Linked DNA regions of Caenorhabditis elegans. The protein of the gene in region 1 interacts with the protein of each later gene in a pairwise test. Each region holds a gene or a part of one and is shown on either strand. Other genes may lie near its edges.

What was found. Proteins that work in one complex are often made in the same cells at the same time.
Region 2: the proteins of mxl-1 (region 1) and tdpt-1 interact in a two-hybrid assay, tested with the Caenorhabditis elegans proteins (one study listed by BioGRID).

Annotation. Positions count from the first base shown.
Region 1 is NC_003283.11:11,243,212-11,246,475, forward strand, and holds mxl-1 (Max-like protein 1), read left to right. Parts: upstream 1-1,627; coding exon 1,628-1,945; intron 1,946-2,575; coding exon 2,576-2,632; 3' UTR 2,633-2,715; downstream 2,716-3,264. Other genes in the region: pgap-1 (GPI inositol-deacylase), read left to right, coding at 53-249, 297-686, 740-1,162. UniProt on the Caenorhabditis elegans protein: Transcriptional regulator which binds to the E box motif 5'-CACGTG-3', when in a heterodimeric complex with mdl-1.
Region 2 is NC_003279.8:14,096,972-14,103,072, forward strand, and holds tdpt-1 (5'-tyrosyl-DNA phosphodiesterase), read right to left. Parts: upstream 4,120-6,101; 5' UTR 4,113-4,119; coding exon 4,061-4,112; intron 3,998-4,060; coding exon 3,923-3,997; intron 3,874-3,922; coding exon 3,653-3,873; intron 2,981-3,652; coding exon 2,886-2,980; intron 2,753-2,885; coding exon 2,521-2,752; intron 1,331-2,520; coding exon 1,047-1,330; intron 862-1,046; coding exon 732-861; 3' UTR 521-731; downstream 1-520. Other genes in the region: Protein tfg-1, read left to right, coding at 5,076-5,256, 5,309-5,454.

The DNA of each region.
Region 1 (3,264 bases):
GGTTTTGTGTAATTTTTAGAATTTTTATCAATATAACAATATTATTTTGTAGTGAACTCTATGACCACAGTTCGTTATGATGAATCTATGATGTATTTCAAAAACTCGTCGGATGGTGCAGTGGAAACGTGGATTTATCGAGCATTGGAAAAAGAAGAAGTTCGTTTAGTTCTCGATGTGACAGCTCCCTGTAGTATTGATATTCAAATGAGCCCTCCAATGACAGTGCAGTTATGGCGTTTTTATGAGGTGAGTGTCTCGATTTATGCTTTTCAGAAATTTATAGTTTCTTGCAGATCGTGTTCTCTCATTTACATGAAGTAGGCGGAACCATGATTGTGATTAGCGTATTCTTCGCTATTTTGGTTCGTGAGACACTGTTCTACAGTACGACGGCTGTTTTGTTGACCAACCTTGTTGCCTTATTTTTTGTGATTCACGGAAGTACAGACTACACGGACACCACTACACTCCCCATGGCTTTGGGATATTTCATGGCACTGGGTTGGAGAGCGATATGCTTTGTCGTTGACTGGCTTATTGTGTCAAGAATTGGATTTGTCAAAACAGGACATTTGGCGCTCCGCGATGACAAGTTAATGAATGGCCTGTACCTGGTTGGATCAGCAATCACAATCATGGCAAGAAATGAGGGATCAATTGTTTTGATTATTCTCCTCGCATATGTTAGTAACCTGGAAAAGTAATACAACTTTTTTAATATTGTTTTTTCTTTCAGCGTCATCATCCACGGGCAGTTCTTCTGATTCTCCCGACATTGATCCCATATATTCTCAAACTGGTCGGCTTCCCGTGGTTCTCGACGGATTCTCTTATCGTGTACCAACTGCAATATCAACCTGCATTTTACGCCGGCGGACTCTATCTCTTCGGTCTTGTTTCAAATCTCGGAAATCGACAGATTACTTTGCGATTACTCGTTTACGGACTTGTGCCAGCATTCCTCTATTTAATCACATCGCCTCTCGAACTATTTTCCGGATTCACCCTCATCATATTCAGCACAGCTCGCTTCGTTACATTCCCATCACGTAAATCTGTCACTCCTCCTGTTCCCGAGCAAGAAAGAGTTCAAGTGGAACAACCACGTCCAATTCAAAACAACAGACAACGCTATAACCTACGAAATAGGAGAAGATAATTTTGTGCCTATACTTTACACCAGTGCTTTTTATACATTTCTACGCCGGTTTTGAGGTTAATTACATGTATAGATAAGATTCTTCCAAACGTGTGGCCAATTGTTTGTCTAAGTTTCCCTTTCCCACCATTCTATTTTCTCATATTCAATTTTTTTATTTCTCTAGTCTTCACTTTTACTACATACTCGTGAATCTTCAAATTTCTTATCCCAGTGTTAAGAAGTTTTATTCGTATTTTTTGGTTTGATCTATTGTTACATGGTCTGTTTTCATATCAATCTTCGATTTAAGTTTTATGTATATATTACCTACATATTATTTATTAGATCTCTGTGATAATGAATATGCTATTAAAACACAATTTACGTGTAAAGTTATTTTACATGGTTCTCATGAGCCTTTTTCTATATCTCAAATTAAATATTATTTACATGTTCACTTCCCTAATGGAAAATAAACCTCAGATGTCTGACATGAGTGACCTCGAAGATGACCAGACAGGTCACTGTGGTTCCGGAGAACACAGCGGGCCGTTTGATCCGAAGCGGCATGCTCGAGAACAGCACAACGCTCTTGAACGACGAAGACGTGATAATATCAAGGATATGTACACAAGTCTGAGAGAAGTAGTCCCTGATGCCAACGGGGAAAGGGTTCAAGCATCGAGAGCTGTCATTCTGAAAAAAGCAATTGAGTCGATCGAAAAAGGCCAATCCGATAGTGCAACGTTGTCAGTTGATGTTGCCGAACAAGAATCAAAAAATGCAAAACTCAGAGAAGAGGTTAGTTAATATTTCTTATTTATGCAATATTGGGGTAACAAAAAATTCTGATAATGCGTATTGCGCAACGTATTTGCCGCGCAAAATATCTCGTAGCGAAAACTACCGTGTTCTTTATATTAATACTGTAGAGCTTAAGTCGATTTACGCGCTCAGTTTTCGAAATGAGTTTATTTTCGAATAGTGACAGCGATACTCCATTTTCCTTTTTGTATTATTTTCTCACTTTTTGATTAATGTTTATATTTTCTCGATAAAAAACTGATTTCAATTTATTCCGAACATCGAGTCCGTAAATCGACACGAGCGCCACAGTAGTCATTTAAAGAGTTACTGTAGTTTTCGCAACGAAATATTTTGCGCGTTAAATATATTGCGCAATAGCATTCCCAGGATATTGCGTTCCTGTAATATAGTTATGTTGAAGTTGATTGAGAATAATTTTTAGAAACTCCCTCCCTCATGCTCATACTTCTGTTGAAACATTTAGTCAATCGCTCTTAGAATCCCTAATAATTCAGATCTACAATCCTGTTTTAATCATGTTTTAAATCATGTTACAGCTCTCATTATTATCGTTGATTGAAATCACGCGGGCTAGCCAACTAATCTCATCAATTTCATTTTCAGATAGCTCGCCTGAAAGCCAAGAAAGATCCGTCATCGTCGCAGTCGATAATTCAATAATAACTACCGTGTATGCATGCTCAATAATGTAATGTAGTACTAACCATTCCAAAATTGCCATAGTACAATAAATGTTTGCATTTTATCCTGACTTTGCACATTATTTGAAAGACATTCTTTAATTTGAAATTTTCTGATTTTTCACGGGATGTTCATTACTGTGCAACTATCTTGATCATAGTCATCAACTTAATCCAACACATTTCAAATGAACTTGGCAATGCTCGTGTGAACATAAAGAGACTGGAAAACAAGTATCGTAGGACAGAGAATACATATGTAAAAATTGTATCTTATAATGTATAATCACTTCTTATCATTCCTGTAATATTAAAGGAACACTAAATTCGTAGAATGCGTATTGTGCAACATATTTGACGAACAAAATATCTCGTATTGAAAACTACAGTAACTTTACAACGATTACTGTGGTACTGGTGTCGATTTACGAGAACTCGATTTTCGAAACGAATTTCTATTCGAATTATTGTGACAGCAGAATTGTGACAGCATTGTTCAATTTTCTTTTTTTTCGTCACGTTTTGTTTTTTTGTTCTCTTATTATTTTACCGATTCACAATTGAGTTCCGTAAACCGACACCGGTGCCACAGTCGTCATTTAAAGAGTTACT
Region 2 (6,101 bases), on another chromosome or scaffold:
TTTCCGCCGGCTACCAATCAAGAGACCGGGGTTCGAGTCCGCGGCGTGGCGAATATTTTCAATTTTTTGCCAATTTGATGTGATTTTTAGCAATTTAAAACCTCAAAACCTAGAAATTTAGAACAAAAAGTTTTTGAAAGTTGGGTTTTGAGTCGAAATTATCAATTTTCTAGTTATTTTCTTCTAAAAACGATTTTTCCTATAGTTTAAGATAATAACAATCATCTAGAGGCTTATAAATCAGAAAAATCGAGTTTTAAGCTTTTCGAAAAAAAAAGTGTCCGAATGGCGCAGTGGGATTTTCGCCGGCTACCAATCACAAGACCGGGGTTCGAGTCCGCAATGTGGCAAAAATTTTTATTTTCTATTTGTAGTGGTTTTGAGATGAAATTTGTTATTTTAAAGCTCGAAATTTAAAAAATAAAATATTTTTTTATCCCAAAATTTCAATTTTCTAATTTTTTTAGGCGCCAATTTTTTTTTCCAAAAAATGAGCGATTTTCTATAGTTTTAAAAGAAAAAAAAAAGTGGATTTATTTACAATCAGTATCGAAAATCGAAGATCAATAAAAACAACGAGTTTTCAAAAAAAAGGGAGCTTAGATGAAAAAAAAAGATTAAAACCCGGTGACAACTGGGAGGTAATTCCTGGGTAAAAATAGTGAAAACCGGTCGAAAAACAAGTGAAAATGGGTAAAAAATGATGATTTAAGGCTTATTTAAGGCTTATTTCAGGCAAAAAACGTGGCATTGATAGCCCAATGATCAGATGGGAAGCACAAACAGGAACGGATGCGTTGGCGGCCTTCAAGTGTGAATTTGACTTTGTCCAGTGGTCCAGACCAGTATAGGCGGTCGAATCTGAAAATTTGAAGCTTTTTAGATTTTTTAAAAAATTGAAAAAAATCGATTTTTGTTTATTTTTTAAAAAATGATCGAATGGCTCAGTGCGCTTTTCGCCGTCTACCAATCACACGACCGGGGTTCGAGCCCCCGGTGTGGCAAAATATTTTTTATTTCTTTTTTATTTGTCTCTTCGCTTTTACCTCATCTTAGCGCCATGGAATCCCTGTTTATTGTCATTTTTGAAGGTGTCCCACGTGAATTTTGTCTTATTATCACTGCCGGCAGCCTCCCAGGCATCCTTAACACCGTCAGGCACACGGCTGACCTCCTCGTCTCGTAAGTTCAAATCGCCGCCGAAAAAGACGAGGGCGCCCGGGTTTTGAGCGATGATTTCACGGACTTTGTCCATGCAGAAGCCGAATTGAGCACAACGTTGCGGGCGGTGCTCACGTGTTGATTCGAGATGGGTGTTAAGTAGGAATACCTGCAAAAAACGAGAAAATTGGTTGAGGCTCAGGCTACAAACTACAAAAATTTGTTAAATTTGCCGAAAAGCGAATGATTTTAATAGAAATGTTCAGTTTTCTTTCAAAAAAATCAATTAAAACGAGGAAATTCTTCAGTTTTTTTTCGGGAAAGTGGTTGTGGCTCAGGTTACAAACTACAAACTCGGCTTAGCCTCACCAAACATTTCCGAAGCGAAATCTGATGAAAATACTCGAAATTTCCCTCATTTTTCTTCAAAAAAAGCTCCAAATTTTCAAAATTCTAGGGATTTCCCTCAAAAATCAGAAGAAAAACTGAAAGAATCAGGGTTTTAACCAGAATTCCGAAAAAAAAATTGGTTGAGGCTCAGGCTACAAACTACAAAATCGGCTTAGCCTCACCAAACATTTCCGGAGCGAAATCTGGTGAAAATACTCGAAATTTCCCACATTTTTTCTCAAAAAAGCTCAAATTTCCATAACATTTCATGTATTTCCGACAAAAATCATTGAAAAATTCAAAAAAATTACAAATAAAATTGATTGAAGCTCAGGCTACAAACTACACATTTGGTTAGCCTCACCAAAGTTTCAACGAATTTTTTTCGAACTCACACTACATACTGTGATTTTCAGCTAGAAATTGCAGAATTCTGATTGAAAAAAATCAATTATATCTCGAAAATCTTACAACAAAAAAGAGATTTTCAGGAAGACATAGGGATTTTCCGTAAAATTTGACCGAAAATTGATTTTAAAACCTGAAAATCTAGATTTTTTCAGTGGAAAATCCCATTTTCTGTAAAAATTTGAAGTTTTTTGCAAGAAAAACAAGAGGGAAAACATTTGAGGGGAAAAATTGGTTGAGGCCTACACTACAAACTACAAATGTGGTTAGCCTCAACCAATATACATTTTGCTCGATTTTAAGGTATTTTTTGCGGAAATTGATTGATTTTTACGGGAATTTTTATATTTTGTTTTGAAAAAATGGATTAAAATGCGAGAATTTTTCAAAAAATCTTTTTTTTCAGTAAAAAACTGAAAAATTCGATTATTGCGATAAAAATTGATTGAGGCTCAGGCTACAAATTACAAATTTGGGTAGCCTCAACCATCATTTTCACTCATTTTTAGCGGTTTTCCGGGATTTTTTCTTAAAATTTCGTCTATTTTCTGAAAAATTAACCTTCAAACCGCCAATAGATCCCTCCAAAATCTGCAAAGTTCTGTACATTCCAGAATTCTGAAAATGAATGACGTCATGCTTCTCGACGTCGAACATTTTCGACACAAGAATCGCCGTATAATATTGGCAGCCTTTGTTCGAATAATAGATTTTATACAGCGATTGAAGCTTATCAATCGGCGCCAAATCACGGTCGACGACTTCTTGGAGGAATAGGATGTCCGGATTGACGCTGAAATTTTTTTTTGGCGTTTCAGGTTGATTTTTGAAGATTTTTGACGGTTTTTAGTGATTTTTTTGCTGATTTTGCATCAAAATCAACTAAAAATTTGAAAATTCCGTGAAAAATCGCCGATTTTGCTCACTTTTTGACAATATGAGCCACTGCTTTCATTCTTGTGAGCAAGCTTCTCCCGTCGAGCCCATCAATGTTCCACGACATTACGCTGACTTCGAATCCCTGAAAAAATTTGAAATTTGTTGGAAAAATCGCGAAAAAAGTGAATTTTTTTTTGGTGAGGCTAAGCCGAGTTTGTAGTTTGTAGTCTTAGCCTCAACCAATTTTTTTTTCGGAATTCAGGTTAAAAGCGTGATTTTTTTCAGTTTTTCTAAAGATTTTCGAAGGAAATTCATGAAATTTTATGGAAATTTGAGCTTTTTTGAAGAAAAATGAGGGAAATTTCGAGTATTATGCTTCGGAAATGTTTGGTGAGGCTATACCGATTTTGTAGTTTGTAGTCTTAGCCTCAACCAATTTTTTTTCGGAATTCCGGTTGAAAGCGTGATTTTTTTTTAGTTTTTCTACTGATTTTTGAAGGAAATCTATGAAAATTTATGGAAATTTTAGTTTTTTTGATAAAAAATGAGGAAAATTTCAAGTATTTTCGCCAGATTTCGCTTTGGAAATTTTTGGTGAGGCTCGGCCGATTTTGTAGTTTGTAGCCTGAGCCTCAACCAATTTTTTTTTTCGGAATTCCGGTTGAAAAAGTGATTTTTTTCAAATTTTCAATGATTTCTGTGAAAAATCACTGAAATTTTACGGAAATTGCAGCATTTTTGAGGTTTTTTAACTCGAAAATCGATGTTTTTAGGTGGTTTGGCTTGATTTTGCTCCAAATATTCTTCTATTAACCTTCAAATCCTCTGCCGTCATCACCGCAGCTCCAGAGCTCGCCATAGACGATGAAGCGCCCATTACGGCCGCACTTCTGGCCTCTGCGAACGCCTCACTCCCGTAAAAAACGTCCAGAGCCTTCTTCAAATCCCAGTCTACATCCTGTAAAATCGACTGCGCAAAAGCCTCATCTGTGGCCGTGATTATTGCAAATTCATGCAGTTTTTGCTCGTCGCTCACTGAAAAATCGCGGATTTTCGCCTTAATTTATTGATTTTTCGGGTTTACTCGACGAATTTTTCAGTTTTCCTTGCTCCGGCTCATCTAGAATCTCGATTTCGACCTCGGAATCTTCTTGGGACACTGAAATATATTTTATTTGATTTAAAATTCAAATATTTTGAATTTCCAGCTGCAAAGCCTTACTTTTCTGTCGTTTAGCCTCAATTTCCTGTATTTCATCGTCAGAATTCGACATTTTTGAGCTGAAATTAGAGGATTTTATCATATTTTTTCAGAAAACGCGAAAAATCCACACGATAACTATTGAAATTCAAAAAATCGCGAAAAGAATAACTGAAAAGGCGGAGTCTAGCCGGGGGGCGTACCCTATTTGCAATCCTGGCACGCGTGTTGCAACTGCGGCGCACTTTTACCGAACGTGGAATTTTATATCGCGGATTTGGATCGTTTTTCTTCCCGTTATTTTCCCATTTTTCCTTGGTTTTCTTGCAGAAAATCCATAAAAATAGCAAGAAAAGTGAGTATTAGAGGTTAAAATCGATATTTTCACCATAAAAAAACCCCAGAAAACCGGCAAAAAACGATGAAAATCCGTGTGGAATTTTTTTAGACCTAGTTTCGCAATTTTTTCAATATTATCTTGAAGATTTTGATCTATTTTCGTGATCTTTACTTATTTTATGTGCCATATCCCGATTTTTATACCGAAAACCCGCGAAAATCTAGAGATTCCGATGGAATTGCTTTATTATATTACACGTGGAACTATTTTATTTCTTGATTTCTGCCGGTTTCTTGCTTTAAAATCTTAGAAAATAGCGTTTCAAGTGGGTTTTAGAGCCGAAAATTTAGATTTTCGATAGGAAAATCGCCTAAAAATCGATGAAACCATATTTTTGGCCTACTCCCGCTCTAATTTTGAAACTTTGATCTCGTTTAGGTCGAATTTCAACTAAAAAGTCGAATTTTCCTGTCAAAACACATGAAAATCCAAAATTTTCGTAAAAATATGAGCTCCGGATAAACTTGGGTGAGGCTGAGCCAATTTCGTAGTTTGTAGCCTGAGCCTCACCAAAATTCGGATTCTGTGTTTAATTCTTGATTTCTAGTTGATTTTCGCCGGTTTTTTTTTGCTTTTTTCTTTCTTTTTCTCCCGCAAAACCCAATTTTCCCTTTAAAAAACCCCCGTTTTTTCCAGATGGTGCATTCAAACGGAGCCATCACGAGCACAATTCTGAAGGCTCGTCACGCCGACGTCGTCCGCAAGACGTCACTTCACCACGCCAACGACTTGACACTCATCGATCTCGTGCTCAATGTGCAGCGGCTTTTGGCTCTCCCATCCGACGCGAATTTCGTGTTGAAGTACAAGGATGAAGGTAGGAATTGCACTGAAAATTGCGATTTTAATTCAATTTTTGTCAATTTTAGAAGGCGATTTGGTGACACTCGCCGAGGATAGCGACCTCCTGCTGGCTCTTCACACGTCTGGAGCCACGCTCGACGTGACCGTCGTTGTCGACTCGAGAGCTCGTGAGGCTGTGCACGATGTGCAGAAGCAAGTCGAGCAGATTAAGGTAAGGAGGATTTTGAGCGAAAAAAAACGATTTTTGAGCTGAAAAGCGCAATTTTGAGCGGGAAAATGCAAAATGTTGCAGAATTTTCATCGAAAATGCTGCATTTTTGAGCTTTTTAGACAAAAAAAAATCCGGAAAAACACTGAAAAATGTTGGTTGAGGCTAAGAAACAAGTGTAGTTTGTAGTGTGAGCCTCAACCAAACTAGCCAAAGCTTGAGTGAGGCTATGGTGATTTTGTAGTTTGTAGCTTTAGCCTCAACCAAATTAGCTAAAGCTTGAGTGAGGCTATGGTGATTTTGTAGTTTGTAGCTTTAGCCTCAACCAAATTAGCTAAAGCTTGAGTGAGGCTATGGTGATTTTGTAGTTTGTAGCTTTAGCCTCAACCAAATTAGCTAAAGCTTGAGTGAGGCTATGCAGCTTTTTTTTGTTTATAGTGTGAGCCTCAACCAATTTTGTTTTTAAAATTCACAAAATCTTTGGTTTTTCACTGAAAAATTGGAGAAATTTCAGCGTTTTCATTGATTTTTAAACAAAATTATCCAAATAATCGGTTTTTTTTTTCAATATTTTTAACACAAAATGGCTAAAAATTGGAATTTCTAGTACTACAGCTAGCGAAAAACGAATTTTAATTCAATTTTTCTTT